Struthio camelus: one gene and its partners. The main gene of each other region encodes a partner of the protein of the gene in region 4 in a complex. Links are inferred from orthologs where the notes say so. Each region holds a gene or a part of one and is shown on either strand. Other genes may lie near its edges. The genes, in order: LIN54, E2F4, LIN52 and MYBL1.

What was found.
Region 1: MYBL1 (region 4) and LIN54 share a complex: the UniProt entries of both Homo sapiens proteins name them as parts of the DREAM complex. The link is inferred for Struthio camelus from reciprocal best matches to the Homo sapiens genes MYBL1 and LIN54.
Region 2: MYBL1 (region 4) and E2F4 share a complex: the UniProt entries of both Homo sapiens proteins name them as parts of the DREAM complex. The link is inferred for Struthio camelus from reciprocal best matches to the Homo sapiens genes MYBL1 and E2F4.
Region 3: MYBL1 (region 4) and LIN52 share a complex: the UniProt entries of both Homo sapiens proteins name them as parts of the DREAM complex. The link is inferred for Struthio camelus from reciprocal best matches to the Homo sapiens genes MYBL1 and LIN52.

What each region holds. Positions count from the first base shown.
Region 1 is NC_090945.1:10,330,127-10,337,500, reverse strand, and holds the start of LIN54 (protein lin-54 homolog), read left to right. Parts: upstream 1-4,320; 5' UTR 4,321-4,515; intron 4,516-4,736; exon of another isoform or gene 4,737-4,961; intron 4,962-5,321; exon of another isoform or gene 5,322-5,652; intron 5,653-5,745; exon of another isoform or gene 5,746-5,857; intron 5,858-6,287; exon of another isoform or gene 6,288-6,808; 5' UTR 6,809-6,898; coding exon 6,899-6,920; intron 6,921-7,374. Other genes in the region: COPS4 (COP9 signalosome complex subunit 4), read right to left, coding at 882-1,033, 1,851-1,930, 4,116-4,189. UniProt on the Homo sapiens protein: Component of the DREAM complex, a multiprotein complex that can both act as a transcription activator or repressor depending on the context. In G0 phase, the complex binds to more than 800 promoters and is required for repression of E2F target genes.
Region 2 is NC_090951.1:24,433,939-24,441,447, reverse strand, and holds the start of E2F4 (transcription factor E2F4), read right to left. Parts: upstream 3,048-7,509; 5' UTR 2,999-3,047; coding exon 2,831-2,998; intron 919-2,830; coding exon 809-918; intron 224-808; coding exon 62-223; intron 1-61. Other genes in the region: EXOC3L1 (exocyst complex component 3-like protein), read left to right, coding at 4,266-4,308, 5,476-5,636, 6,826-7,045, 7,374-7,509. UniProt on the Homo sapiens protein: Transcription activator that binds DNA cooperatively with DP proteins through the E2 recognition site, 5'-TTTC[CG]CGC-3' found in the promoter region of a number of genes whose products are involved in cell cycle regulation or in DNA replication.
Region 3 is NC_090946.1:57,307,283-57,315,086, reverse strand, and holds the start of LIN52 (protein lin-52 homolog), read right to left. Parts: upstream 3,238-7,804; 5' UTR 3,152-3,237; coding exon 3,133-3,151; intron 3,057-3,132; coding exon 2,982-3,056; intron 2,815-2,981; coding exon 2,777-2,814; intron 2,317-2,776; coding exon 2,250-2,316; intron 1,412-2,249; coding exon 1,328-1,411; intron 1-1,327. Other genes in the region: ALDH6A1 (methylmalonate-semialdehyde/malonate-semialdehyde dehydrogenase [acylating], mitochondrial), read left to right, coding at 3,566-3,628, 3,960-4,025, 6,203-6,277, 7,692-7,804.
Region 4 is NC_090943.1:132,430,059-132,438,002, reverse strand, and holds the start of MYBL1 (myb-related protein A), read right to left. Parts: upstream 3,161-7,944; 5' UTR 3,015-3,160; coding exon 2,995-3,014; intron 1-2,994. UniProt on the Homo sapiens protein: Transcription factor that specifically recognizes the sequence 5'-YAAC[GT]G-3'.

The DNA of each region.
Region 1 (7,374 bases), on a different chromosome or scaffold from region 4:
AGATACGAACGGCATGAACTAATCCAAAAACTTCTAATTTGTAGTGCAGCTGTCTGCAGGCAAAGTAGCAGTGCTAGAATCTGGGTTTTATAAGCAGAAGTGTGGTTAAAAGAAGTAGCCATGTGATGCCTTGAATTTAATTTCTGCATAATCACTATAACATGCAGGGAAACATATTCAGTTAAGCTTTAGAGTGAAAGCTGCTTAAAAAGACAAAAGGTCAACATGCAAATACAAATCATGACAGCAACTGCGTGGTTTTTGTCCTAATATTAGATGCAGTAAGATGTTTATATAAGCATCTTCAGTAACCACTCTCAGCAAATACTGAGGTACTTGTACAAGAAAACCAAGGACAGACTTGAAAAAAGAACTGCAACGTATTCAGCAGTTTACTGTAGAGGTGGGATTTCTAGGAAACTATTTTTTCTGGTACAACATTTCTGGGCTTAAAGAGTTTTAAATGTGGGTTGTTTTTTTTTTTTAAATGTTAAGTAGCAACAGAAGCTACTTGGTAAAATACTTCTCTTTTCAATCACTTGCCCATGCCATTAGTTGGGTAATATGTAAAATAATCAGTACCAGTCTGTATCTTGACAGCTTTTCCAGTAGCTCAAGTATTGTCTCATTGTAAGAAGCCATTTTCTGGTAGTGGAGGAATTACATGCCTCGCATCCTGATTAAGAAACAAAGACTGTATTCTTTGCACAGTCCCATATCCTCACAGCATTTGGCAAAAGTTTTGCTCGCACAAGAATGCCAAATTGGACTTTAAGTAGGAACATCTGTTTTGAACAACAAATTTGAAGACTAACAATATTTAGCAGTTACACCGCAAAGCCAAGCCTGTAAACCAGAAATGCTTTTCACTGATGTCTTACCTGCTCCTCAAATGAAATGACCCTAGGCTGTATCTTTTCCAGGGTGAAGTGGTATATTTCTTTGGCTGTGCTGTCAGGAAGACTTGGAAGATGGGTACAGAAATCTGTCAGTAACTGACGTGAGATCACTAAACTGACGTTTTCATTCACCACTGGTTCAAAGACACATGGAAGAAGAATATAAGATGGAAGAAACGCATGTCAGCACTTTCACTGTAAGTGGTCTATAGCCATTCAATCACTTGCTTTAATATTAAATTTGAGCTTCTTCAACTTTTAAATCTAAATTTAAATTATGGGCTGCCCCCGCCCAAAGATGACTTTCCTTCTCTCACAAACCGATGCTATCTGTTTACACTAGAGATTGCCAGAGATTAGAACTGAGGTGAATAGCAGTGTCTTTCTTGCTCTGATTTATCGCCTAGGAAGATGTTTCATTCTGAATCGCTGTTCTCAGCTGCTAAAACGTTTCAGACAAAGTAAACATTTAGTCTAAGTTTCACTAAGCTTACTCTAAAATTCTAAATCGGATATAGCAGATATAACTTCTTTAAGTACTCAATAAGCCAAACAACTAATACAACACCAAAAAGAAATCAAACCATTTCTTCTTGGCAATCTTCCCCATTAACCTGAAACTGGAAGGAGAGAAGAGTTGTTTCTTTAAAGACAGCTTTCTATCCACTATCCATTTTACCAGTCAACAAAGACTAGTTTACATTTGTACACAGTGCTTAGGTCTACCTTCAGACACTGTAATACTAATAGGTTTGAAAGTTCCATTAACTCAGAAAACTTACAAGTCTGAATATGCTGATGTTTGGTGCCTCTTCTAGTCATGTTTAAGTTCTAATATGACTAGAATATTATACATTTATTTAGCCTCATGCAGAGCTAACAAATACGCAATCCCACAGGTTCAGACCTTCATTTAGTCAGTGTGTGAACAGTCATACCAGACACACTTACTTGCTTCTACAAAAGCTTTCAAAGCTTCAAGTTGCTCGACGCCTGATAGCTGAATGGCTTTTTCCAATATTTGACGATATCTGCCCACAGATTAAAAAAGAAAAAGTCATATTTCATATTTTTTTTAAATTAAGTATTCCTGTTTCTGTGCTTATTTTCTTCCTTAGAGTGCTTTTTCTATTTACATTTGCTGTGTTTTCGAGGTGCGTGTTTGCCCAAGTGTTTATGCTAAAATTCCAGGAACGTTCGCCTGGAACTGGTATCTGTGTCTTTTTAAAGTTCCAGGACTAGTTTCCACCGTAACATAGTTACAAATCTGTTAGTATATCTGCAATGAAAAATGCCTTTTAAGAAAATCAAAACCCCAACCTATTCCTGGGATAGTGCTTTTCTGTCTTGCCATAAAGAGAAAGCACAGGAAACGTAAAGAACGTTATATCCCTCGCATATTAAAATCAGTAACTGGTGACAGAAGTGCAAAAATGGCAGATTCAGGGGGAACAAGAAGCAGTGGTGGGTGAGAGATGGAAGTAAACAGTATACTATAGACACTTGATGGTATCATAGGCAGGGAATATACCCTATTTTTATAAAGTATTTATTATTGAAATGTTTAAATATTAACAAATCATACTCACTGCAGCTTTCATGTAGTAGTTGTATAAGGCCGGTGCAACTCTTACTGGGCCATAATCTTAACATGTACAACATTGAAAGGAGTTACATTCATGTTGAAGCTGCATTTTCAGGGGAACGTTTCAGGAATTTTTAAATATGAAGTGCCTAGATCTGAGGCAATTCCTCTAGAAAATAAGGAATTGGACTGGTAATGAAGGAATTTCAAGTGAATTGAAAGAAAGAAACTAGGTAATATACTGCACAGTGATTAAGTCAAATCCCACATCTCATATCCAAAATACCTTACTTAAATTTAAATTTTCATTGTTGACTTTTTTAGTAAAAACACATTGGAGGAGTTCTGCACGCATATGAAGCAATTGTGGGAAAGAAAATCCCCACGGTCTATCACTTTTGCTCAGTTTTCGGACAGATAGCTGAAATCGGACAGGCACCCAGAATGGGGTGGGGTGTAGGAGTTACAGTGAAGCGGTAAGGCCCAGCACAACTGCCAAGGGGCCTGCGCTAGGACAGTGAGAGCACAGAGGCACTTTTCATTGAAAACAATAATAAAGACAAGCAGGAAAAAGAGGACGAATCATATTATTTCAAGAGCTGACCCAGAAGCACCCTACCGTCAGGGCGAAGAGCTATGCCTGCTGGCCCGGAGGCCGGGAGCCCGCGCAGCCTTCGACTTGCAGGCGACAGCAGCCCCTCCGGCGACCCCGGATGGCGCTGGCGGCGAGGACATCGCGCCCCGCTTCCCCTCCCCTCAACGGTCCCGCGGACTCGCCTCAGCAACGGTCGCGCGACTCCTTCCCTCCCTCCCCCACGGCCGCGCGGACCCTCCTCAGCAACGGTCGCGCGGCTCCTTCCCCCTCACCAACGGTCGCGCGGACCCTCCTCAGCAACGGTCGCGCGGCTCCTTCCCCCTCACCCCAACAGCCGCGCGGTCTCTCCTCAGCAACGGTCGCGCGGCTCCTTCCCCCCCACCCCAACAGCCGCGCGGACTCCCCTCAGCAACGGTCGCGCGGCTCCTTCCCCCCCCACCCCAACAGCCGCGCGGACTCCCCTCAGCAACGGTCGCGGGGCTCCTTCCCCCCCACCCCAACAGCCGCGCGGACTCTTCAGCAACGGTCGCGGGGCTCCTTCCCCCCCCACCCCAACAGCCGCGCGGACTCCCCTCATGAACGGTCGCGGGGCTCCTTCCCCCCCCACCCCAACAGCCGCGCGGTCTCTCCTCAGCAACGGTCGCGGGGCTCCTTCCCCCCCCACCCCAACAGCCGCGCGGACTCTCTTCAGCAACGGTCGCGCGACTCCTTCCCCCCCCCCTCCCCAACGGCCACGCGGACTCTCCTCAGCAACGGTCGCGCGACTCCTTCCCCCCCCCAACAGCCCACTGTCGCGCGGACCCTCCTCAGCAACGGTCCCACGACCTCCCCCCCTCCCCAACGGCCACGCGGACTCTCCTCATCAACGGTCGTCCGGCTCTTTCCCTGCCCCCCCCCCCACCAACGGCCGCGCGGACTCTCCTCAGCAACGGCCGCGCGGCCCCATCCCCTCTCCCCCCCAAAACGGCCGCGCGGCCCCAGCCGTTGCCCCCAGTCGCCGCTTCCCCGCCAAGGGAAGGAGGACGCCGGCACTCACTTGCCCGCCAGGTCCTTGTGGGAGCCACTGGAGTTCATCAGCTGCGCCAGGTCCTGCTTCACCGCGGCCGCCATCTTCGCTGCGGCGCCGATCAGGCCCTGCGGCGGCGGCCGCGCCTCCTCCTACCATAGAGCAGCCGCGGGAGGGAAGGCTAGAGAGGCGCCGCCGCTTCTGCCCCCCCCGCCGGGTGGCGCGCCGCGGTCACGTGGCGCGGGCGGGCGGGCGCCGCCGCCGGCCTGTCACGGCGGCACTGCCTGCCCGGCGCGTAAAAAACACGCCCTGTACCGAGCGGGGCAAAACACCGGGCGGCCCGGCCGGCTGTGATGGCGGCGGGGGAAGGCGGCCGCAACCGCGGCGCTCCGCATCTCCCGAAAAACGCACGAACTCATTTATAGACGCAGTACGGCCGCACCCAGCCGCATATAACATACAGAAATGCATATGTGCGCGCGTGCCGGGGGGGAGGCGGGGGTGGGGCCCGCGCCCCGCCGGCGGCGCGCGCGGGCCCCGCCCCGGAAGCAGGGCGAGCCGTGGGAGCGAACGAGACCGAGGGTGGTGGCGGTGGGGAGGGGGAAGAGGAGGCGGGAGTGTGAGGGAGCCGGAAGCGCGGGGCGGGGCGGCGTGGCGCGCGCAGGGCGCTGCGCCGGCGGTTGCCAGGGCGGCGCTGCGCAGTATTATGGGATGCGGCGGTGGAATGGCGCGGGGCGCGTGATTTTGAACAAACACGGCGGCTGGTGGCGGGCGCTGCTGCCGCCGCCGCCGCCTCCGCTCCTGCCGCCGCCGGGCGCGGTAGCGCGGGAGCGCGGCGGCGGCGCGGGGAGGCGGGGGAGGAAGAGCGGCAGCCCGGTGAGTGCTAGCGCGAGGGGCGGGAAAGCGGCGGCGGCGGCGGGGGGAGGCGGCGCGCACCGGGCCCTGCACGGTGCCGGGGGGCTGGAGGAGGCCACGGCCGGGAGGAGACACCCGGTCTCCCGGCCGCGGCGGTGCCTCGGCGCTGACAGCGGCGTCCCGGCCGCCGCCCGCCGAGAGGGCGCAGGCCCGGCCCCGCCGGCGCTCGCTCCCCGCGGCGGGGCGGGCTCCGTCTGCTTGTGGGGGCTCCTCGGGGTGGGGGGGCACTGGGTCGCCCCTCCGCCCCCGCTGCCCGGTAGCTGTCTTGGGGGGGCTCCGCGGCCCGCTGATGAGCGCGGGCTGCCCCGCTTTGGCGTCTGCAGCTGCCCGTGTCCCTCGGCGGAGGCCAGAAGCGGGAGACAGCAGGGCAGAGCCGTCATCTGTGCTGCTTCGGGCTGTCGCCCGGGAGGAAGTAACTCCGCAGCCTGCGTTGGCTTTGCATTTCCTCGGAGCGCACCGCAGGCCGGCCGCGGAGGGAAATACGGATGGAGCGACTAAAGGATGGTGTTGGGGTGGGGGAGGAAACGATGGGCTAAACGTGCCTCTCCTCGGAAGCCGAGCGAGATGCGCGCTGCCCTAACGAGCGTCCTTTGCCTTGCGGCTTCCCGAAAGAAGCCGCAGCGCAAGCGGTAGCGGAGCGACGGGATTCAAGGTGAAGCAGCGACGCCAGAGCAGCCGCTGCCGCTCCGCGCCGGTGCCTCGGGGGGGGGGGCGGGGGGCGGGCGAGCGGCGGGGGGCGGGCGGCGGGGCCGCGGCGCCGGGCGGCGGCGATGACGAGGTGAAAATGGCGGATCTTTCGAAATACGGTCGCGGCCGCTGACGGAGCGGCGGCGGCGGCTCCCGCCCGCCCCGCTGAGGTGAGGCCCCGGCGGCCGCGCGCGCGCGCCCGGGGGGTGGGGGTGGGGGGCGGGAGGGGGCCGGGGCCTAACGGTCGCCGGCGGCCGTTGGCGGGGCCGGGCCGTTCCAACGGTCGCGGCGGCGGCTTCCCTCCCCCGCCCCCCCCCCCCGGCCTCCCCTTTTTTTCCCCCGGCCGCCGGCTCTGGTTGTCGCCAAATGTGGCGGGTGTCGAGGGGAGGGGGGATCCCCGCCCCGCTGCCGGGGCCGCGCCGGGGGGTCGGCACGGCCTCGGTCCTGCTGCCCAGGCGTGTCGGGGGAGGCGGGGGGGTGTTTGGGGATGACGGGAAGCACCCGGAAGGGTGAGGGGTCCTCGGCGCCCGATGGTCGGGCAGGTGTCGCCAGGATGGCGCGTGGCGGTCCCCTCGCTCCGGCGCCGGGCGGCCTGCTCCGTAAGTTGCTCGCGTCAGGAGGCAGGACAAACTGGTGGGTGAATTAGGCCCTCGGACTCTCTCATCCCGTTACTCCTTGACAACACGTAACCAGCTCAGGTTTGGGTCGCTGGCGAAGGACTGGCTGGCCTCTCCTGCAACTCCGTGTCTGTGGTGGACTTTGCCCTCCGTGAGGGCAGGTTGTCTTTGTGTTTGGAGATGCTCGGCTTGGGAGCCACAGTTGGTCGTTCAAAACAGGTTGTGGTAACAAGTGCCCGCGGTATTGTCCGTAGTTCCTCTACCGGCTGAAGTGTGAAGGTGTACCTGTACTTTCCGTCCAAAAGGACGCATGGAAACGGAGAATCCGGTGGTTTGCAGTGAATTAGCTGGACTGTCTTGCCAAGTAGTCTGAGCTTCTCACTTCATCGTTTTTGCTTCTCGTTCGTTATGGTGTATATTGCTGGTCAGAATGTGTTGTTAATTATTGGTGGCCTTTACTTTTCTGCACATCGTGTACTAATTATGTAACTTCTGATATGGCAGCTTTGAGTTCTGGAAAGCATTGAGTGTTCAGAGCGTGTGAACTTGTCGACCTCTAGAACATAACGTGAACGCGAGAAAAGCTGTCAGAAGATGTTAACTAAAGATAAAACAGGTATTTGAATGACCTTCCATAGGTTCATCCTTCTAAACGGTTGCCTGAAACACATTAGAATTGTTATAGGAAATAGTACATATAGAAAAATAATACTGAATGTTCTTTACCAAGTTTACATAAAGTTAGTTAAAATAAGCAAGTCCTAATATACCTGGCTGGTTCATTCAGAATAGCTTTTTGGCTTAGTGGGTTATCGCCTGAGAGTATTTGGTCTTTCAGAGAAATCTTTCCTCAGAGTAAAATGCCTTACATATGTCCTTTTATTCCCTAAAACATCCAATTTACATGTGTACTACCGAGTAATAGGTGTTGGTTTTGTATCATGTACATACTTACATTTAACCAATAGAAAGAGATATGCCTGTATTGTCCATAGGCAAAGCACTGCTAAAGGTTAACTTGGAGAGTGTCTTGAAAAATACGGCCGAGCTTCTCCAATGAGTTCAAGAGG
Region 2 (7,509 bases), on a different chromosome or scaffold from region 4:
TCTGCTTTCCAGCCCAGCAAGTTAACAAGGAGATGGAGTAATCAGTTCACACAAAGGATATCGACTGTTCTGCACGTCTTCTGTAACATTTTTGATGCTCTGTTGGACCCACATCTTCTGCTGCTCCAGCTCCTGTTCCCGCTGCTCCAAGTCTTCTATGTCTGCCTTCAGCTCAATGAGTTTGTGAGCTATTTCACGTGTGTTGCAGCCAGGACCCACCCCTCTGTGCAATGTGAAAAAGGAATAACATGCATCAGCGTCTTGAGCCATCCAAACCAACTCCTCTGTGCAATGTAAAAAGGAATAACATGCATCAGCGTCTTGAGCCATCCAAACCAACTCCAACATTTCTCTTGCTGCCATCTCTACCATATGCCAAGCTCAGATCTCCCAGAAAGCCTTACCTGTACCTGTCCTACACCCTTCCTAGCATAGCAACATTTAGCACATCCTCCTACATCCCACCGGCTAACAGGACTCTCCCACCCCAGTGCCACAGCAGGCATTTTTTCTAATCCAAGGCACTACAAATACTTCATCTGTGCTCAGATAACAGCTCCATTAGAAAAGGGACATGCCACATGTACTTCAGCTTTCCTCATTACTAGCAACAGCACAGCTCAGCTCGGGGAAGCACAAGCATGCATAGACCACTGAGGAAGCTTTCCCTGAGCAGGGCATTTTAACCACAATGTTTAAACAACAACCACATGAAGCCCTGCTATCCTGCATGGGGAAAAGACAGCTGTGAGATAGGACCTTGGACTAAAAGGGATCTATGAACAATTTAGTCTTCTCTGTCACTCACTTCCATTGGATACTGTTCTTCGATTTCTTCTCGATCAGTCCAATGCCTTCCAGGACATTTGTGATATCGTATATTCGTCGTTTCTGCCGCACCGCTAGGGTATCTGCAGCCTGCAGAAAAGTTGAAAACTTAACTCCAAACTCTCAGCCACCCCTTGCTCCCCACCTCATGCCTCTCTTGCCCCAGCGCCTCAAACTACAAAGCCATGTTCTTAACATCGTTACAACAATCAGAATTAGTCACTGCCCCTTTGTTCTTTTTCTTACCCACAGACCTTCCCATTAACCACAAATCTAATTCCAGCCACCTCATTCAGGGCTGGTGCAAAAATCATTGTTCCTCAACAATAAAGCTGTGCTAGAAGACACTAGTCTGGCAGCCTAAAAATTCAGTGCTTGTTCAGTGTAAGACAGATGAGAACGGACAGGAGAAGGTAGAGAGATGCCTATACAGTTGACCACTGTTCAGTAAAGTGGATGTTTAAAAGGTCTTTTCTATCTACATCTCATGCCATTTGATAGAGAGAATCAACACCTTCTCAAAAGGCAGATTTCTTTATATGAAAGAGTCTCCACTGGGGGAAGAATAAGTACAGTTATAAGGACGCAGCTCCTGAGCAACCCTCGTGCTTCCCTGCCTTGCTCGCTGCTGTTTTGCCCCAAGGGTTCCACTACTACAGTTCTCTTCAGCTTGCTGGATACTCCAGACAATGTTGAGCCTTTCGTTTCCACTTTCATAGGGCAATTTAGCAGCACTAGGTGTTTAGCTGGCACTGTGCTGGCATGCTAGAATACTACAGATGGCATTGCACAGCCAGTCAGACACAGATGGTCAGCACAGAAATGACTTTCCTCTCTCACACATCTTCACGGTAATGGACCAGGGCATTAGAGACCCTGCACAGCACTACTGCTCAAATCACACTGACAAATATGAATCCTAGTTAATGTATATTTTGAGCAAGAAAATATTGCTCTTCTGACAAAATCCAAAGAGCTAACAATTTGCCATAGCAGAGGACTGTAGTCTACAACCAGAAGACTCCTCCCGACCCTCCATTTTTAGGGCTTTCCCACACCTGCCTGGAGCCTATGCAGGGGTTGTCAGAGTGAACTCACACACATAGCCACATAAGAGATTGGTATAAACCACACTGAAAGAACTTCATATGCAGAGGAGGCCTAGATATAAGTATTGCATATTTCATTAAGAGAGTTCCTTTCTCTAGGTGAAGATCTTGAAAATGCATGAGCAAGGTGCACTTGCAGAACACTTGTCCATAACATAAAGGCATCAGGGCACAGTCCCGGCAGAGATGAATCTGATTTCACTCTCCTTCCTGCTGTATGTTAGAAGGCCAAAATGCAGTAAGGAGCAAGTTTCTCCATTTCTGCAGCTCTCCGATGAGGCATTACAGGGATCTATCATTACAACGTCTGTGTTCAAGTAGCAGCTTTGGGAGATTGGGGCACCATGTGACAGAGCAAACATGAGGCAGAAGGCATGTTGGACTGAACAGCACCTGCACCTGGCCTTCCAAAGCCTGGCCAAGAACGTGGAAGAGAAGAAGATAGCCCAACACAGTTCAAATAGAAATACAAACGCTGAGTGATGAGAACTATTTGGAAGGAAGCTGCAGGAGGGAATATCTACACTGTGATGGTAAGTACCCGGCCACTTCTGCATGTTCTATGTGCAGTCTGGTAGCTCTGCCACATCCCCAGCTCTTCCCGGGGACTTCTCTCCTAGGCTGAGCTCTTTATCTGCCTGATGAGGAGGCCTCACCTCCCTAGACCTGCTCCACTAGAGATCGCCATTTCCACCTACGCTCTCCCCCACAAAACCTGCTTCACTCCCCGGAGGACCAGCCACCTCTGTGCTTGCCGGCGCTTAGCTCAGCCGTGCCCGCAGGAGTTCCAGCAGAACTCCTCAGCTCCCCAGCTGCGCCGGCTCCCGACTCCCAACACCGGCGGAGCTCCCCTTGATGCTGGCCCCAGTGCGGCGGGGCGGGAGAGCCCTCACCACCCGCCGGTAGCCCCGCACCAGCTTGAGGTCCAGCACGCCGTCCTTGGCCTCCTGCAGCAGCGACACGAACTTGGTGGTCAGCAGCCCCAGGCTCTTCTCGTGCCGGCTCGGCGCCCCCGCAGCCCCGCTCCCACCCCCGGGGGGCTGCGGCCCGCACTCCGCCATCTGCCCGCCACCGCCGCCGCCGCCGGCTCCGGCCGCGCCGTGCTTCCGCTTCCGGGCCGCGGGGCATGACGGGAACTTCCGCTCCGGGGTGGCCTGAGGGGTGGGGGCGGTGGGGGCGCCAGGCGGGGCAGCGCGCATGCGCATGTGCGCGAGGTGGGGCCGGGGTGGGCGAGGATGGGTGGGGTGCGCGCTGGGTGCCGGGGCGGCTGCTGCCGACTAGCGGGGAAGGCTGGCCTCGGACACGGACGTCGCAGAGGCGCGCCCTGCACCCCTCCGCCTTTGTCCCCTCAGCCAGGTTCGCTAATAAAGACGTTGAACGGCCATTGGCCCCAGGACCGATCGCTGAGGGACACCACAAGTGTCTGGCCGCCAGCTGGACTTTGTGCCGCTGGGGTAACAACTCTTGGAGCCTCGGGGAAACTCGGTGTCGCGTTTATACAGCAGCAACGCAGTGGTCTCTGGTTTGCTCCCAGGTATTAGACCTTTCCTCAAACTTCATGGCAGCTTTGGTGTTTTGGGAGCCTTTTTTGAGGTACCTGCTACGTTTAGTTTGGTCATCACGGTAGATTATGAACTGGGTGTCCCTGCTGTATACCCTGCCTTCAAGTCGTACCTCGGATTTGCTGAGGTTTGACCCTCTTCCCCCCTGCACCCTGAAAGTCCTCTCAGGCTGCATTCATCCAGGCAACCGTTCGTTGGTAGTTTTGTTTCCAGAGATGTGTAGGGCAGCAGCCTCACCTGGGCAGAGTGAGATCTCTGACCGTGCCACCTTCTGGTGGGCTCCTGCTACAGATACAGAAAGTGCAATGAACACACAAACCCAGCTCACACTGCCCAGGCAGGCACCCCTGGGCAGCCAATACCGATTAGGGACACCTCACTACCCTCCTTGAGCCACACGAGCTGCTTTGCAGCCCTGCACTGCAACATCCAGCTGTGATTGAGACCACCCCACAAGGCAGGCACTGGGTCTATGTTGGCTGCATGCCCAGGATGAACCAAACTGGGGGGGGGGGGGAGGGGGAGGGGAAGAGGGGGGGTTGGGATGGGAAGGGCACACAGGACATGATTTCTATTTGCAAAGCCTGCGACCTGCAGTGACTACAGTGCCTTCCCCCGCTCCCCCCAGTTCCTGACATCCTGAGTGTGTCTGCGAGAACACAATGAGCCCCTGAGGAGTGTGCATGCACTCGCTGAGGAAACGGCTGCCGGCTTCCTCCGCACAGCCCAGCCCTGCACCCTGGAGCTTGCACGCAGCACTGAGACGATGGGCATGTCTGCGGAGGATGAGCACACCGTGAGCCCCAAAGGTAATGGGGACAGCGCGGTCCCCCACGGAGCTGGCATCCTGGGCAGGGGAGGGATACAATTACTGGCAGTGCATCTCCAGGGCTAGGGGCTCTCAGTGATGCCTGTGCTCCCCCAGCCTCTGCCCAACCATCTGATGGACCTTTTCCCCATGCCAGGCACAATGCCTTCTGCCTTTGGGTGGGTGGAAGCCCAGCCCTGCTTCCTGGCAGTGATAACCACAGCAGGCTGGGATCATCCCTTGCTGCGCAGGGTGATCTCCCCTCCTTCCTGATGAGCTGCCCATCTTTTTAGCACTTACTGGGGACAGTGCTACCCGCCGCACAGCTCTTCCCCAAACCTGCTGCTTTCCCCTGAAGTCCACGGGCCCAGTGCAGACAGGCTCATCAGGAGCATGGGACCCTAGCTCGGGGCTAGGTGATGTCCCTGTGGGGCTATGGAGGGTCCCAAGCTGGGAGAGCTTCTGGAGAAGGGAGAAAACAATGAATCCAGGTGCTGGGGATGGGGGTGAGCATGTGATAATTGTGCCAACTCTCAGCCCCAGTCCTGGAAAGATGGCCACTGGCATGTCTTCATACCCTGTACCAGGGCCAAGGCAGGACACAATGGCTGGCCCCACACAGCTGCAGCCAGTGCCTGTGGGAGACTGAAAAGTCCAGGAGCCTCCTGGCCTCACCTCAGTCTGACTCTGCCTTCAGTAGTGGAGCTGCCCAGGCAAGGGTGGCCCCAGGGCCCTCTAAATCAACCCCTCTGGGGACTCCTTCATGCAGAGAGACTGTGCAAGCTGTCGCCCCTCCATTCCTTCTGCTGACTCATTGCTGAGGACTCAGCCCTGCCAAGGCCTTCCCAGGTGGTGTGAGATCCCTCCCCCACCGGCCAACAAGGGGACACACTCCCAACTTTGGTGACAGCCTGAGCTGACAGGGCAGTTGGCAGCTCTTTGGGGTAGTCCTCTGCCATGACTGCTGCATGGCCTCCGACCTGTGTCACTGGGATCCCTCTTGGGGCCCTCCCGGAAGGGCCTGCTTGCTGCTGCCTTGTCTGGCTTCCCACATCTGTGTGTGCTAGAACATCCGCTTGTGGCCGGTTTCCTGCCTCTGGCCCTGGGGGCCCTTCCTGCCCCACAAGGAGAGGCACATTTCACTCATTAACCCCGGCTTCACCCCCAGATGAGGAATGGCCAGAAGTGGAGAAGGCTGAGAAGTTAGCAAGAGGAGCTGCTCTGAAATGGGCTTCAGGGGTGTTCTACTGCCCCGAGAAACTAGAAGGGCTTGGGCAGTACCGGAGCCGGGAAACACAGAGGAACAGCTCCATCCAGTCCCGGCTGAAGGTGGGTGTTTGCCACATCCCACCTGATGAGCACACACAGCTTGACTCTCTTCCCATGCAGGGATCCCAGCCAGGGTCTGGTCTTCTGCATCAAATCACTTTTTTTGCACTTCTGGAACAATCTTGTCTTTGTGCTGGCTTTTGATGGGAGAAATGCTGTTGTTGGGGGGGGAAAGAGCCAGGAGAACCCCCTCCTGCCCTAACCCTCTTGGTTGCAGTGTGGTTAAAGTGCTAAAATGGGATTCCTGCATCTCTCTCTGTAATTAGAAGCAAAATACCAAGGATATCCAATGCATCCCATGTGCAGAAACCAGTGCTCCCTGTTGCTTCCCTATCCCAGCACCAAGGGCTCCCTTTCTCTATGGCTGGGAGGAGGTGAAGAGCTCCAGCCTGCCCCATCCCTGCCTGCAAATCCGCACAGGAGAAACAGTATTTTTACACAGAGATAAGGGATTTAACTGGTCACTGTGCATGCCTACCTGGTCAGGGTGACTCTATGATCCTTTTTTATATGACCTCAAGAAACACTGACCTCAGGACGTGAGTGGTCTGAGCACCTTGGACCTTGTCCTGGCTATCCTGATTTCGGAGATGGTTTATCCTGCCCTAGTTGTGGGGAAATTGTCCAGGAGAGGACTAATTTTAAGTAATGTGGCTTCAGAGAAAACCTGTTTCTGTCAATGCTGGGTAAAAATGCTTCTTCATATCAGAAGCCAGAGGTGAAAGGGGCGGAGAGAGCATGGAGACGTACCAGTGCCACTGGAGGGCTGAAAAGATGGAAATCCATTTTGGAGGAACGTTTGTGTGGCCACTGAGGTGTTTCGTGCCATTAATCTGTCTCGGGGGCGCAGTGGGGACCTGTGTCCTGCAAATATTTTAGTATTATTTTAAAGCTGAAAGCAGACATCTGGGCCATTCCTGTCACTGGAGCAAAAGGGTGAAATGGGCCATTCCTGTTGCTGGAGCGGGTTTCTTGGGGCTGGGTGTACATGGGGAGAGCAGGAGCTGTGGGATAGGGACATTGTGGGAGATGTGGGAGATGTGGCAGCATAATGAGAGAGGCAGATGCAACCTTGTCGGAGTGCAGACCACGTGCTGCAGAGGCCTGGCAGGGCTGGAACAAAGGGTGTGCGAGTCCCCCATCCTTTGAGAGCTTCCCCATTGCTCCTTCATCCTCTTCTGCTCCCCAGTCGACTGTCCAGTCCTACCTGGAGGGAGTGAACGCAGGGCTGCAGCAGCTGCGGTCAGCGGCCGAGGAGGTGCAGAGTGTGTGCCAGGACTTGGGGGCTGCACGGTGGGCCCTGCTCGACAGTGCTGACCACTTCCAGGTCTTGCAGCAGATGCGGGCACTGATGGCGGAGCATGTGCAACTGGCCTCAGTGGTAAAGGTCCTGCCCCAGCTATTCTCAGGTAAGGTATTCACCCAGTCCTTGGGGGTTTTGGCTGAAAGGCACTTGGGAGTGCTCAAGTGCAACTCTGGCTTCATGCAGGGAGAGCCCCTTTGCTCTTTGGTGGCAAAGTTAGAGCAGGTTGCTCAGGCCTTGTCTGGTTGGGTTTGGAAAGTCTCTGAGGATGGAGATGCCACTGCCTCCCCAGAACCTGTCCCAGCACTGTTTTCGCGGAGCCCCAGGTCTCAGACCCTTCTTCTTGGGATCTTCCTGCTGATGCCCACAGCCCCAGCGCCAATCCCCTTCAACTCCAGTGCTCAATCTTGTCATTTCTCCTCCCTCTCCCACAGTCCATGAAGTTTTTTCCCATACCCTGCAGCTGCTCCACGAGCAGCACCTCCTGGAGGCCCATGCTGAGCTCATGATGTTGGAGCACCTCCGGGATGACATCCTCTTCCAGCTGCACCTCCATGGACTCTCCAGTGC
Region 3 (7,804 bases), on a different chromosome or scaffold from region 4:
CTGAACAATACAATCTTGTTAACTTTAATACAATTGGACTCTGCTCAATTTTATCACTGCAAAGCAGTTCGACATTTAAGTTTATGGTTTACTTAAAGCCAATACATAAGCAGCATCCTCCCACTTTGTCTTTTACTAAGATATTGCTTTACTATACTTTAACTTCTACACTACTAAATGCTTTATACAGCCTTAACAGATTAGGCTCTGAAAGTAGAATGAATTTGTGCATGCAGGGGTGTGTTAAAACATGCTTAACAACCTATCTGGGAAGAAAGCATTAGAGTATCCTATACTTAGAGTCAGTAAGATTCTAAAGATAGTACTACTGCTTTTTGCTGTCCACTGAAAAAGAAGTGAAAGGCTTCACACCACGTTACTTATATCACCATATAAAGCTAACAAGGAACATGAAGGGTTTTTCCTAGTCTCAATGACAGTTTTAAAACTTTCAAAGCTTTGTGCTTACCCCAGAGTAACTCAAGTAGAGCCTAAGCTAAAGCAAAACCAAGCAGAAAATATTAAATAAGTAAATAGGTACCCTACAGACAGGGTTTAAAGGAACCTCAGTCCCCTTAAATCAGCCTGATAACAAGAGCCTTGAACGTGTTGATGAAGGCAATTCCTTCTTCAAAAGTTTGACAAAAATTGGCTGCTAGTCAGCGGGATGCAGTTCAACTTTAGTACTGGATGACATGAGCTCTATTCACAGCCAACAGTAGAAAAAAACCACCAATTACAGACGCTGGAAATTAACTATAAACACTAACTGGTAGCAGAATCCTACACACAAGTGAAAGTTCCACTGTGGAGATAGTACACTTAAGTTTCACAGAAATATTGGCATAAATAACCTGAAAATATTTTTAATATCCAAGTGGGAATTAAACAAAGCATGACAATTTATCTAAACCAATATAAATCAGGAACAGAAGTCTATGGGCCACTACACAACATCAGATGGCATAACCATGACCTCTTGTCGTAGAGGCTGTAAGTTCTCTCTCCCCATTTTGGAAGATCACATACACAAATTACCACCTTGTTTATCTATCACACAAATAGGTCTTAACTCAACATTAGAAATGAAACTGAAAGTTACAAAATTCTAAATGTGACCCATTAAGTCACACTGTGCACCTGACAGATTTGCTTTGGGCAGCTGCTAAGAGAGTATCATTCAGCACTCTTTCTCTTGGGAGGACTTCCTACTGCACCATTATTACTGTGAGATGCTTGCCAGGGCTGCCGATACATTTTCCAGCTATAGATATAGGATGAGTACATATTTGCAATGCAGTCAGCCACATCTGCCTACAGCACTTACATTCATCCAGTCCCAGCTGATAAGCCAGGTTCTGCAGGCCTCGAACCTTCTCCATCAGGTTAGCAGTAGTGAGGCTCCCCAACTCTAAAAACACAGAAAAGCATGATTTTTAACAGCGTATAGCCCTCTAGTGGCAATGTACCTGGGCTTACTACTTCACAGAGCACCTTCAAGTCCAACTTTTGACAATACCCGTTTCCACTGAACAAAATACATTCTTTAACTCTCACATTTCAAATCTCAGAAGCACGAAAGACTTATAACAACCTCAAAGTCGTTTTGCTTGCCAGAAATGCTAGGATCCAATGGTTCAAAAAATCACCGATAGTGAGAAAAATATCTTCACCTTTGTAAGCTCTCTAGCAGAAGCTTATTCGCACTACATATTTAAGCGAGCCTGTCTAGTTTCATGCAAACAGGTACCATTATCATTGCCTAAGGCATCACCCCAGGAAGCGTATTCTGCTATTTTTCTTCTTTGTTATTGCCATAGAGTTCTTCATGATCTTGTCTTACGCTATTTCTAAGCGGTTGAATTCTTTGAGTAAACTAATTCTTCCAGATCATTAGCATGGACAGCTTTTGAGCATCGATCCTGCTGTGTTCATTCCTTCACAACTCAGTACACTAGGCACTACTGAACCACAGCCAAGCAGTGGTATTCACATAGTCACCCCAAGTAGGTAGAATCTATTGCCTTAACCCTTTAGTTACACTGCAGTTGGTAGTGCTCCATGTCATTGAAAAATATTAGTGGATTCATGTGACATAGCTTGCTCTACACCACATTTTAAGAAAATATCGTCTACTTAGCTGTTCCTCCACCTGTCCCTTCTCTCCCCTTAAAAAGGAAACAAAAAAAACCCCCACCCATCTGCTTTAGTAATCTTACCTGCTACTCAAAGGCACTGCCCATACTCACCCTTTAACATATCAATATCATCATTTTCTAATTCAGCCATCCATTTGGGAGGAGAACTAGTAATAGGCTGTTTGAGGGGAAAAAAAAAAACATAGCTCAGAAAAGTGTATTTATAGCAGCATACAAACAAAATGTGGTCTAGGATTCTAGAAAATACTCACACTGACAGTAAAAATAAAAGGATAATAGGTGCTCTGTAGAGATTTTCCTACACTTAACCTAACTTTCTAACTTTTTCTATAATTTTTGAAAGTAACACCAGTACATACCACTCAAAAGCTGAAAACAGCATAAAGAACAGCATTTTCTACAGTTTTTCTAAAAATCTTTTATTTCTTCCAAGAACCAACACACTACATTCACAACAAGGTATAAGAAGAGAAGCAAAGGCTTATACTGAAACATTCTGAAGTTACAGTTAAGAAATATTTTAGAGAAAAAGGTCACGAAGCTCACAACAGGAAAAAGCAGATCTATCAACAGGCAGGAAACGGGAAAACACGAGGTGCAAACTAAACGTTGCTTACACTTTTGAAGGAGGCAGCAAATTCAGCAACACCTGGTACTGAAAAAAAAGAAAAGAAAACACCAGGTGAGCGGTTGCGGCTACAGAGCACTACGGCCTCCTGCCCATGGGCAAGGCCGCTACCGCCTGCCGAGACGGAGGGGCCCCACCAGGCCCCCCGAGGCGCTGAGGCCAACGAGGGCCACCGGGCTCGGGGCGGGACTTACGCTGCTCGGGCCACAGGTCCGGGGAGGCTCGGTCCAGCTTCTCGAAGCTCAGCAGCGAGGCCTCCAGGTCCGCGCCTGCAACAGACAGGGATGAGCCTCCACACAACCCACCAGCGAGGAGCGGCACCCCGACCACCCCCTCCCGCCTCACCGTCCCCGGGAGCCGCCATCTTGCCCGTGTCACGTGACCCGCCGCCACGGCCCGCGGGATCCGCCCACGTGACCCGCAACCCCCGCCCCCGAGGCCCAGCCCCGAAACCTCACGTGTCGCTGTGGCCGCCGCCACCAGGAGGCGTGGCCGCCCGCCGACGCTCGGCCAATCCGAGCTGCGACGGCCAGTGGGCGTCTTGGGGCGGGCGGCCAATGGGCACCCCGCAACGGTGGGCGGTGGGGCCGGGGGGCGCGGCGAGGGGGCTCTCCGACGGCGATTGGCCGAGAGCCGCGAGGGCGGTCCAGGAGGGGGCGGGGAGTGGGCGAGGCCGGCGCCCAAGCGGCCAATGAGAGCGCGGGGGCGGTGCTTCGGGCCGCGGCGGGTCGGGGCGAGGGGTGCCGTCGGGGGGCGCGGCGCAGCACTCTGGCCCGGGATGGCGGCGGCGGCGGCGGCGGCGGCGCGCGGCGCCTGGGGCGGGCGGCGCGCGGCGCTCAGGGTGAGGCGGCGGCAGCGGCAGCCGTTACCCCCCCGCTCCTCTCCCCACCCTCCCCCCGCCGTGGCGGCGCGCCGCGGCTCGGTTCGGCCCGGGCGGCGCAGGGGGGCGCGGCCCGCCTGGCTCGGGAGCCCCGCGCGGGGGGCGGCGGCGAGGGGCTGCGGCGGCGGGGGGAGCAGCCGGTGCGGCCCAGGAAGGGCGGGCAGCGCGGTGGCGGCGCCGCTGGGTCGGCGGCTGCCTGGCCCGGGGTGGGGGCGGGCCGGGCCGGGGGCGCTGACCCGCCGTCGGGAGCGCTGCCCGGAACCGCGTTTGTGTGTGTTTCCGTCCCGTCCAGCTGCCGCGGAGAGCCGGTGCCCCTTGGATCGCCTCAGCCGCCGCCTCCTCCTCCTCCTCCTCGGTGGTGAGTCCGGCGCCGCGGGTCAGAGCCAGCGGGCGGGGGGCGGCGGGGGAGCCCGCCCCGGCCCCAGCCCCGAGGAGCCTCTCTGGCTTTGCTCCTGACACAGCCAGAGACTTTATTCCAGTCTGCTCTTTTGAGGTCGTTTCTGTCGGTTCGCCTCCCCGTGACTCCTGCCTGGCATCTCTGGAGCAAACACTGGCGACTCGCAGGGAACAGGGCACGGAGGGCCCCTTTGGTCAATAGGAGGAAAGGAAAGAAAAACACTAGTTAGACGTCAGATGTGTTTGACTCCAGAGTGAAGGAGTACCAGCTCTGACTGAACGCTCCCTCCTTGAGCTGTGCTCTAGCCGTTAGTGCAGTTATCCCACGTTACTTTTTCTATCGACTCCTGCGCGTGTACCTAAGGACGATATGCTAGTTCGGTTGACCACTGCTTGGTGTTTTGTTTTCTCCGTGTTTATTAAATAGCACACAGTTTACTAAGTAGCCAGGTTTTTTTCTGATTTTTAGACTTCCTTTGCTGTGTGTGATATATCTTCAGTTAGTTAGAGCAGCAAAAAATAAAGAATATGTGATTAATGATCCTGTGTGAAAAAAAGGTTATGTTAAGTTGTATGACTGGCCTCACGTAGTCCATCTATGGCAGAGACAGAATCTGCTTCTCTTAGGGCAGTATTTAACTGCTTTAGCTAGTATAGTATCTTTTCTCATCTGCTATCCACAACTGTACAGTTTCCAAGTTTGGAACAGATAAATCATGATTGTCCAAAAAGTCTGCTTTTCCACAGTCATTGTTCCCAGAACAGGCTCATTCTCTAGAGAAGAAGAGCAGGGGCATCTTATGGAACAAGTACAGTCAATATTGATTCTAGCATTTCCTAAACTGTAGAGTGTAATTTTTCCTTGCATGAGGAATTCCCTAAATATGTTTTTTCAAATTGCTTAAAAAAGGTAAGTTCCATTGTACCGAAGCCCACATGGGTCATGTAGCTTTGGAGCCTATATGTCCACTGCAGATATGTGCTACGTGGGCTTTTTTTTTTTTTTCTACTCTCATCCGCTTTTGACTCTTACTGCTTGTCCAGCCAATCCCATTTCTTTTCCTGATTCTTCCTCTCATCTCTGTCCCTTCATTATGCCTTGGAAGGCATTGCAATCCTCATCTCTCTCATAATTCTATGGCCTAATTTCTTTCCTTCACACAGCTCCCTGATATTTTTTTTTTATATTCTAATCTTTTTGTCAGGCATGTCCCATTTCTGTTCTTCATACTGCAGGTCTGTTTCCCCTTTATCTTATCTGTTCTCCCCACGCCACTGCTTTCTGACCTCGTCTCCCTGCAGTTCTTTATCCTTCCTCGCTGTTCTCTGCATGATTAACTGGTTCCCGCTTTCTCCTGGTTCTCTCCTTACCTCCCAGTATCAACTCTGTACTCTTAGTATCCAGTTTCTTCATTTATGCAGTCCCATTCTGGTTTCCTGCTTGCTACAGTCTTGTTGCCTATCCAGTGATAATTACAGCTTCTATCCCTGCTTTTCCTCCTGCCCTAAATTTAGCTGAACTTTTATTCCAAACTTTGCTTTTCTCTGTTCTGCGCCTGAATTGCAGAGTTCTGTCCCCCATGCTGCCTGCCAGGACAATCGCTGTGACTTCGGTGGATGTAGTTTCCTTGCTTTTAGTTCCAAGGCCAAAGGACCATTCAGTTTTATGCCTGCAGCTATGAGCTGGGGAGGTGACTGACTTAGTGGCTTGATGGGAATGAAGTGTGTAGTACAGTCTGCACTGGGTACATGGAATTCTCACGAGGTGGAAATATTCACCATTTTTTCTGAATATTTATGAATTGCAATTTTTCAGTCTTCTAACTTGGTAAACTTTGGGTGATTGAGTAGACTGAAATACTTCTGAATATAAGCATAACAATGTATTTTTTCTTGAACTGCTTTTAGAAAGAATTATGGCCAATTCCATTAAAAAAGGCGGGGGGGGGGGGAAAGGGTGGACAGCATGAAAAAATTCAGCCTGAAGAATTAGCTGGACATAACTGTAAAGTATTGGGACTTTGCCCTCTAACAGGCAGCATAGCAGTGAGTGGTGAAGGCCTGCCTGTAATAAGGCACGTTAGTGTGTAGGCACCTTGAGGCAAAGATCACTCATTGTCCCGTGTTTGTCTTCCACAGCCAACAACCAAACTGTTCATTGATGGGAAGTTTGTTGAGTCCAAAACTACTGAATGGATCGATATCCACAACCCAGTAAGTGAAATGGCCTCTGCGTATCTATCAGCAGTCACTGTGCAGCAAGGGTCTGTGCCTCCATTGAGTCATCTGGTGGGAGGGAAAAGTACCTATATTTCTTGAGAAAGTCTTAGACTTGGAGAATAAGACAGATTTAGAACTGTGCAATTGCTTCTCAGTTGCATCTTCATATGAAATGTCAGTCTTAGGAAAGTGATGACCTCCTTTCTCTCCCTTGTGTAGTAAAACCCAAAGCCATTTTATCCAAATATCCAAAGAGGAAGTTTAAACACTACTTACCTTTCTTTTGCTCATGGAAAGGCTTTGAGAAGAGTATTGCAAATTTCGGAAGGATTTCTTTCACCCTGTATGTATGCAACCTCGTGTGATTTGATGTCAGCTAAATGTAAAAGTCCTTATAGAGATTGATTTCACTCTCAGACCAAGGGGAACATCCTGACAGCTGAAGCTCCTCCTCTCTCCTTTGAGAGAGCTTCTATCTGTGAGCCACAATATTCACAGTGAATTTAGACACTTGATGCTATGCAATGCAAAACTTAACTTAGATTAGTAGCACTTGCACCCATCTCAGTTCTACACCAAGGACAAATGGAAATGGGACTGTGTTCAAGGTTCTGACCTTGCAGTAAGCCTTTGGACAGCAGTTTCTGAAGCTTTTCTCTGTAAAGCCTTATTTTCATGAAGCTCATTTGGTCTCTGTGGAGTCTCCATTGGCTGTGGAGCAGCCATCGTTCTTGTTTCCTTTCGTTCCTGTTGTACTTGTAGTTTCTCTCTTAGTGACGTACCTGATATTTTGTCATGTCAAAGCAGATTTCATTTTTAAGAGTGCACTAGAAGGAGGTTAAACTGGTAAAGACAGGATTTAAAAGTTAAAATATTATAGAACTAAAGCTGATCATAAAAATCTCACTTCTGCCTAGTGATTTAGGTGAACAGTAACATGAATGCAAATTGCACAATCACGTGCAGTTTGCTACTTTTTTCAAAGGACCCTTGCCTCATTTAATGTGCAGGAGAGACAGCAGATGAGCCAAGACAATAGAGAGGGAAAAGGACACAGTCCACAGAAACCTTTGCCTTATCCACGCGAGAAGCTGAAAGATACGTTATATCAGACAAGTCACTTCAAATCAAGCATTTCTAAATCACTTCTAAATTTTCAGCTTTTTAGGTGCCTAATTTGAGATGTGTAGAGTGCAGAGTTTCTAAACTACTGAATACACAGAACTCCAGTTGTAGCCTATGCCTTTCATGTGCACCAAGAGAGGAGTCTCTTTTGTACTCTTCCTATGGAAATACAACTCCTTTTAGAATAAGGATATCAGGTGTGTGGTGTGAAAGGAGAGTTGAGTGGTTGAGAGCAATAGCTGGAGAAAGCTGAGCTTTGATGCAATTTGTTTTTTTCCATCAGGCCACAAATGAAGTGGTTGGTCGTGTACCAAAGGCCACAGCCAGTGAGATGGAGGCAGCTGTGGCTTCATGCAAAAAGGCTTTTTGGAACTGGTCAGAAACATCTGTTCTGAG
Region 4 (7,944 bases):
GCCACAACATTTGAATCAGATAATGTAAATGTAAAATGCTGTTCTACATTCTGTTCCAAATTATAACACAGTGCCATTAATTTAATTTTCACTCAGTTACTACCTCCAAAATGTACCAGGTTTTATACAAGATCGGCAAAAAAATAACTAAGACTTAAAAAAAAAAAAAGTGACAACTTCAGATAAACTAATCGTTACTTCTAAAAAGAATTACTGCATCATAAAACATTAACACTTATCCTTAGATCACCTGTAGATTTGCAAGGAGATGAGAAGATATGACTTATGTTCCTTACACATTAAAGTGTGCATGTATTTGAGCTATACTAGGGTGCCTAAACTCAGTGATCAAACACACACAGTATGACAGCTCCCTAGTTTCTCCAGCTTTCTAGACCAGCAGGAAGAAATTGACTTGAATTCATTTTTGTTTCATTCAAGGTTAAAAGTTTTAATCAATATTCTAAGTGTAAAATGGTTAGGTGTTTAATATTAAAGTTCAAAATATTTTTCACTGACATACTGAAAGTGTTAGGTAAAGATCAGTGCTCTATAAACTTCCACAAAGGTACACCACAGCTTTTTCCCCACATTAAAACTAACAGTTTGGAAGTCAGAACAGTACAGGCATTACTGCATAGTCATATATAATCTTCTGCAACTTAGCAATGTTAGTTAGCTCTATTAAAATAATTAGAACTGAAATAATATCTCTGTTTAACCCATTGTATTCCGTTTTCAGAATCACTGCTGTTGAGAGGAATAATTCACATGTCCCTTCTAGGTCGAGCTGCCTTCACATTCAGGAAGATAACAAGGAACCATCTGATGCTCAGTTCGTGTTTGTAACATCATGCTAAAAGCTTAATAATAATAACAACACTTTAAAAAGAGGGGAAAGAAAGAAAAGGATGCTGGACACAAGGCGCTGGTGCCGAGGAGGGCAGCGGAAGCCGTGGGGGCCCAGCTGGCAGCGGCAGTTGGGACGGATTCACCCTCAGGTTCCAGGGAGGCGGCGCATTCCAAGCCCTGCCCGCGCCCCCCGGCCCCCTCCTCCCACGTCCATGGGCGAAAACCAGCTCACCACAGAGCAAGCCCCCTTGCACCTCGGGTCAACACGAAGCGCCGTTTACTTTTTGGCCTCGCTTAGAATGGGACACCAGTAGACTGTAAGTTAAATGTATGTGAAGGTCTGGGGCTATTAACTTCAGATATTGCTTTAGGGGGAAGAAGAGACTGTCAAATGTGTTAGAATTGTCAAAGGAACTACAATAACCTTTCTCAGTTATGAAACTGCAGTGAAATATTGCATGAGAGTGGAACGCTGCCATGTAATTTCATCAAACAAGAAATTTGAAACATTAGGGGGGAAAAAAAAGTACTTCAAGAATTCTGTGCTAGCTATCTTCAAATAAAACTCACCTTGATTTTCTCTTCCTTTATTTTGCAGCTCTGAGTTGGGTACCATTGAAAGAAAAAAACAGATCTTCCAAATGCGAAAAAATCAAGCATAGTTTAACAGAATTAAACTTAATACCATGTGGAACAAAACAGTTATATTTCCTCCTTACTCTACATCTAGATTAATGATCTTGAAAGCATCTCGATGTAAACTTATACTATGATGATTAGTTTCAGGAATGTCATCATCATACACTGATAAGGTATTCTTCTAGGGTTATTGATCTCGAACCAGAAGTTCCTCTGCGATCCACAACTAGTTTTATTTTCAAATATAAGATGAAAGCACTTCATATCCGTAAGGGAAAATACAAGTTACAGCTTTGTAAAGATGAAATTATCGGTTACAATACCATAGATGGAATTTCTGAAGTTACGGAATGCAAGTTAAGAGTAACAGAAAACACTCTCTATGCACTGTTGTCTTGCAGACTGCTAAATTATGACAGTTCCAGCAGCTACCCTCTGCAAGCAAAGCCTCTTAATGAACCTTTCCCCATTTCTTACACAATTACAGCCCAAAAGTACTGCCTTCTTGTTTGACTTTCAGTTTTGCAGAAAAATAATATTAATTTGTGAACTCTTTCACTCTTCAGAAGAGATGCAGCACAGGCAGGTTTAGTAGATTTTGTAAGTGAAACTTTGAAGCCATCCTCACTTCCACAGGAAGCATGGTTTCACAGCAAACCCCAGATGCCATAGATAGGAAAAGATGCTAAATGAGTAATACTAATGTGAAAGCTTTCTCAGTCCCAATCCTTTTTTAAAGCACTACTTTATCAGTTTTCAGAAACTGATTTTCTATTCAGGGCAAAAATAACCATGGCAATAAAACAGTTCTCCAACATTCATCTTTTAAATACAAAGTGAAGACACATGTGTTTTCTTATAAATGAAAGAAAAGTGTATCTGGGGCTGCTGTTGAAGTTTGAGAGAAACGCTCTTCAGGAGATTTCAGGCTAGCTTATGACATCCTCAATCAAGGAACATGCCAAGTGAGAGTAAACGGGTTCATTTAAGATATTCGGCCAAGCAGCAGGCCTGAACATCAATTTCAAGCCTCAAGCCTGACATGCAGGCAGCGCAGAAACAACTCAGAAATAGAAAAGCAAGAAATAACACACCAGCAGCAGGAAAACAAGCAGCAGGAAAAGTCACTGTGGAAGCAAAGTTGTCGTGGGGGACAGGGCCAGCGACCGCAAGAAGCAGGAGCCGAGGAGGTTGCCTAGGTAAGCTACAACAAAGAGGCAGAGCAAAAAAGGGCGCAGGTGGGAGCAGCCTACAGGTGCGAGGAGCAGTTTATACCCGCGAGGTGATGCGGGGCAGCCAGGGGGAAGACGGGTGCCGCGCCTGTGGGGGTGCAGGGCCAGGAGGGCTGAGAGGGACAGCGGGAGCGACACCAGAGCGCGGGAGGCCACGAGCGGAGCCGGCACAGCCCGGCCCGGGGAGCCGCGGAGGGGGGGGGGGGCGGCACCGGGCAGGCCTGGCCGGGGGAGGGGTAAGATGGCGCAGCGCTCGCGCAGCCACACTCACCTGCGCGGTCTCTTCGCCATCCTCGGGGCGCACCATGGGGGGGGGCGCCAAGGCAGCAGGGTGCAGCCCCCGCCCGGGCTCCTCCTCCCGCAGCCGCCCCGCTGGCCGCCCCGGGGCGGCGGAAGGGACAGCGTCGCGGCGGGCGGCGGGCGGCTGGCGGTGACTTCAGGCGGGCGCGGCTCCTCTGACGGCTCCCCTCTCCCCGCGCAGCTCCGCGGCATCCAGAGCCCGCTGGCGGCCGCCCTCAGCCCCGGCCCGGCCCCGCACCCGCCGCGGCAGGCATGGCTCGGCCTCAGCCCGGCCGCTGCCCGCAAGCACGGGACGCGCAGGGGCCCCGCTCTCGCCCAGCTGCGCCTTCTCGCTCCTGTCAGAGCCGCCGCGGGCTCCGGCGGCGCCCTCCCGCCCCGAGCCGCTTCCCCGCCGGGCCTCGTCTCGCCTCCTCCCGTGCCGTGCCGCCTCAGTCCGGCCCGGCCCGCTGGCCGCCCCGGCCCTCCGCCGGCCCCGCGGTCCGGGCTGCGCCGCCACCGCCGCGCTCGCGGCGGGTTTGGATGGTGCCGCCGAATCTCGCGCCCAGCCTCCTTCCAGAGCCACCGTTTGAATCTGCGCAGGCGGACTGCCGCCCCATTGGCTGCCGCCGCCGCACGCGACCGGGGCGGGGCCGCGCGTCCCGCGGGACGGGGGGACGGGGGGAGGGGGAAAGGGGGGCGGGGCCGGCCTGCGACGGGGACGGGGGGGGCGGCTGGCGCGAGGCATGACGGGGGAGCGAGTCTTCGCCGCTGACAGGGCGGCGGCGGCGCCGCGGGCGGGGGCGGCGGAGGCCCGAGCTCGGCTCGCCGCCAGCCCGCTCCCCCCCCCCCCCCCCCGCCCCGTATAACGCCGCGTCGCTGGGGGCGGGCAGCCCGGAGCCGCGAGCGGCGCCTCGGCGCGGCGCGGTGCCCCGGGCGCTGTCAGACGTGGCGCGCGCGCTCCTGACTGGCAAAAAAAAATTAAAAAAAAAAAAAAAAACCGACGCTTTCAGCGCGCCGCCGCACGGCGCAAAACCAAGCCTCCTTCGAGCCGGAATCGAACCAGCGACCTAAGGATTCCCGCGGGCGGGCGGCGCCTCTACAGTCCTCCGCTCTACCAGCTGAGCTATCGAAGGGAGCTGCCTGAAGCGCCCGTCCCGCGCCTTACAGCCTCGCCGCGCCCCTCGCGGTGGCGCCGGGGCTGCGGCCGACCCCCACCTCGGGCAGCGCCGCCGCCGAGCAGCAGCAGCAGCCGCTGCCGCCGCGACAGAGCCCGTTACAGCAGACACTGCTCTTAGTTCTTGCGCTCTTCGGGAAGTAGCGACTTTCACACACCTTGTAATAAACAGTTGTATTTAAAAACAAAAACAAAAAAAACACCCGAGGCTTGAATTTTTATATTTGTGTGTGTGTGTATTTTCACGTTCACTCTAAGTACCTCTATGCCATTTTTATTTCAGGAACTCGGGACTTAGTCTAACTACGCATTTCTTCCACTGTGTGCAGCCGTAAGCAAAAAGGCCATGAAAACTAGAAAGTGAAAAAGAATATGAATATATAGTATTGTGATGATGAATAGATCGTGAATATATAGAATTATTAATTTTGTCCTAGATGAGATACACTTAAATGCATAGTATTTCTCACCTTAAGTGTTTACCACGGATAAATCACGTGCCTAAATCCACAGCTGTAATACTAAAAGCCCAAGGTCTGACTAGCCCTGGACGTGCCTATATTTCACAGACACTGCCAGTTATGAACTCTAAGATCCCTGGAGGCCGATGAACTGCCTCGGATCAGACCAGCTTTAGATCAAGATCTTTACCCGGTCCAAGTCTGGCAAAGCCAGCGCCTAGCTAAAAACCTGCGGCAGCCGTCCCCGTCGTCGAAACGTGACCCAGGAGGGCAACGGCTGCGGTGCCGGTTTGCACGTCTCGCGTGCTGCCGCTGTCCTTCACACCGCCGCTCCGGGCTGAGCCAGACCCACCTGCCCCTCTGCTTCAGCTCAGCGTTTCCCACCTCCCAGGAAAGCGCATCAGAATAAAGTCCTCGGGCCTGGAAATACTCCTTATTCCTCTTTTCAAAAGTTGTGTGAAGGAGAGGAGAATGAGGAGGGGGGGAAAAAACCAAAAAATAAATCATGGTAGTCGTAAGAGCGAGTAAAAATGAGGGAGGCTGAGTCCATCCGTAGCGGTTAGGTAGCCCCTGGGAGGAAGCAGCAGGGTTGCTGCTTCCAGGCCCATCTGTATGTTCCCAACTGCTAGTTTAATGTAAATATATAGGAACAGTCTCTCTTTGGGCCAGTGACTCTGCAATTCTTTGCCAGGCAGGAGCACAGTCTCAGCAAGCAGCTCAGAGATAGCCCTTCCCCCTTCCCTCCCGTTTCCCCCTCCTCCAAAAAATTGTGATGCCCAGTGGTTAAGCACTTGCTTGAGAAACAAGAAATGCGGGTTTACTCAAGCCCAGCCATCCCACTTATTGGGCGATGGCCCTAACCACCACGCTGTTGTACAAAAGGAGAAGCACCCAAATGCCTCACCACATCCTCTTGTGGCTGTGTAAACAGAAACACAAACCCTGCAGGGTTCCTCGGAGCGAAGGCCTGCCCGAACGATAGGGGTTGTGAGCAAGTGAGCCAAAATACCTGGGAGCACCTTCCCCTTGGAGTCGGTGTTTAAAGATCTCCTTTCCTCGGTGATCAGCTTTTAGGCAGGCACAGCATAAATGCACTGATTCAGGCAGGACTTTGCTGCGCTGCTGCTGTTTCAGACGCCCGAGGTACTGCAGGTACCACGCTCATGTCTTCTGATTGCATTTAAGGGATAAAGTATCTAAAAAGGGATGATGGATTGCAGTTCTTGGGTGCAGAGGCCCTAACACTCAGCTCTTTACTGTGATTTTTACCTTCTCGAATGGTGCCAAAGGAGACATCAAAACAGCACATGGTTTCTTCTTTTAAACACATGTTTTGTCTTCACTTCAGAGACAGATTTACTTACAGAAGATTGGTAAACACCACAATAGAGAAAGTAACTTCCTGAACATGCAACTGCCATGAAATTCAAACTAGATTCTAGTATAATCTGTGTGTTTTCTCGATATCCCCCTACACCAAGTCTTAAGCTGCAAGCTAGTGGTATGCATGAAGCCTCATTCAAACAAAACTTTGAAGCTGAGTTATAAGCATAAAGAAAATGTAACCGTTTCAAAACTCAAAAAATTATCGGAAGCTGAAAATTCAAATAGGGATTTTTAGGGACATTTATTTAGGCGATTTGGTGCACTCTCAGAAGCTCGAGAACAGCGCAGGCATGAATTTCAAGGTTTATTAGAGCTGGGGCCTAATGCCAGCATGTGGAGCTCAGTGAAGGAGAAAGGTCTACCTCTGTACTGGAACGTTTTTCAACATACTGTATGCCACCATAGGGTACTCTCATTTCTTCTACAATACGATTAAGTTCTTAAGCCAATAAGTGCAACCTCCATACTCTTGCACTAGAGTTTTGAAATACAGTGGCTCAACAACAGTGACACAGCAGTTAACCTTGATTGCTATTGGCATTTGATCACAGGGAAAGAAAAAATTTACTCCATTTTATAAACATTAACTGTATACGACAGAAACATTCAGGCACCTTATTTTGTTCTCAGCCCAGGCAGCGGATGCATTTCTTTGAGAAATCTGTAGTCATTTACATCAGAATTGGTAATATTTTCCCCAGAATGTAACATGTGAGCAGCAGCAAATGATTTTGATTGCTTTAAGGCTTATTGATGGTCATTTTGAATACTAGCTGGAATAATAGATTCATTTGTATGTTTTAAACCCAACTGCATTCTCCTTTGAGATATTTCAGCACTGTGGAAAGATATGAGCTGTGAAATTGATCTAGTCTAACAATACCCCGACGTCACGCAAAAGCTACACAGGAAGCAAACTTACAAAGAAATAAACCCATATTGTAAAGTTCTTCAACTATCTCATGTTATTTATATACACGTCATCCATGTTTGGATAACACACCCAATATATAGTTTCTACTTAATTTATGAATAGTACTGGATCTACAGGAAAAAATAATCACCCCACATGCGCTCCAGCTGAAAGCATGTGCCTATTTCATACATTTATATGTGTGTGTGTGTGTGTCTGTGTGTGTGTACACATATATAGGTGGGATGTCCTTGCCCCGGCCCTCCTTTCCCAGCCCCAATGAGAAAGTTGACTGACAACCCGGGCGAGTGAGAAACCTTGGCTTGCAGCGCCCCCTGCGCATTCACATGAGAACCTCAGTCCTTGGTACATCCTGAAAACCCCAGGAGGAAAAAAAAACCTTACAACTTATTGTCACAGGGGTGAACCAGTGTCATTGCTTCTTTCACAGAGAAAAAAAAAAAAACACACACAATTGGTTATTTAATTGCTGTTGGAATAGTCTTTGTACGAGTTGTCTTTGATTTCTGCTTGCTATATAGGTGTTGAGCACCGACCTGCACTCACTGTAATACTCTTTTTGTATCCAGAGACGATGAGACTGCAGGTTTCCTCACATTAAAGCTATGACAAGAGTCTTTGAACTACAAAGGTTGGAATCGAACAGTTTATGGAATGAAAACCACTCTGAGACAGGATTTATGTCCTTCAGCCTCGTATAATATAAAATGTCTTGTTTTAGTGTTGATTAATATATAATTCAGTCAAAAAAAAAAAAATCAAAGGAGCCTGAAATATTAAGTGCTTAATTAACCTTCCTGCATATTCCCAGAGTAATACATATGCTCTTAATTTGTAGGAAATAGATCCTGAAAGCCTTAGCTGAGTCAAAGTACTAAATTTGCAAATACTGACAGGACTGCTGTAAAAAAAAAATTAAAACGAAGTTTGCCATGACATGCACTAAACATTCCTTTTTGGAGTACATCAGTAAACACATATGCACCT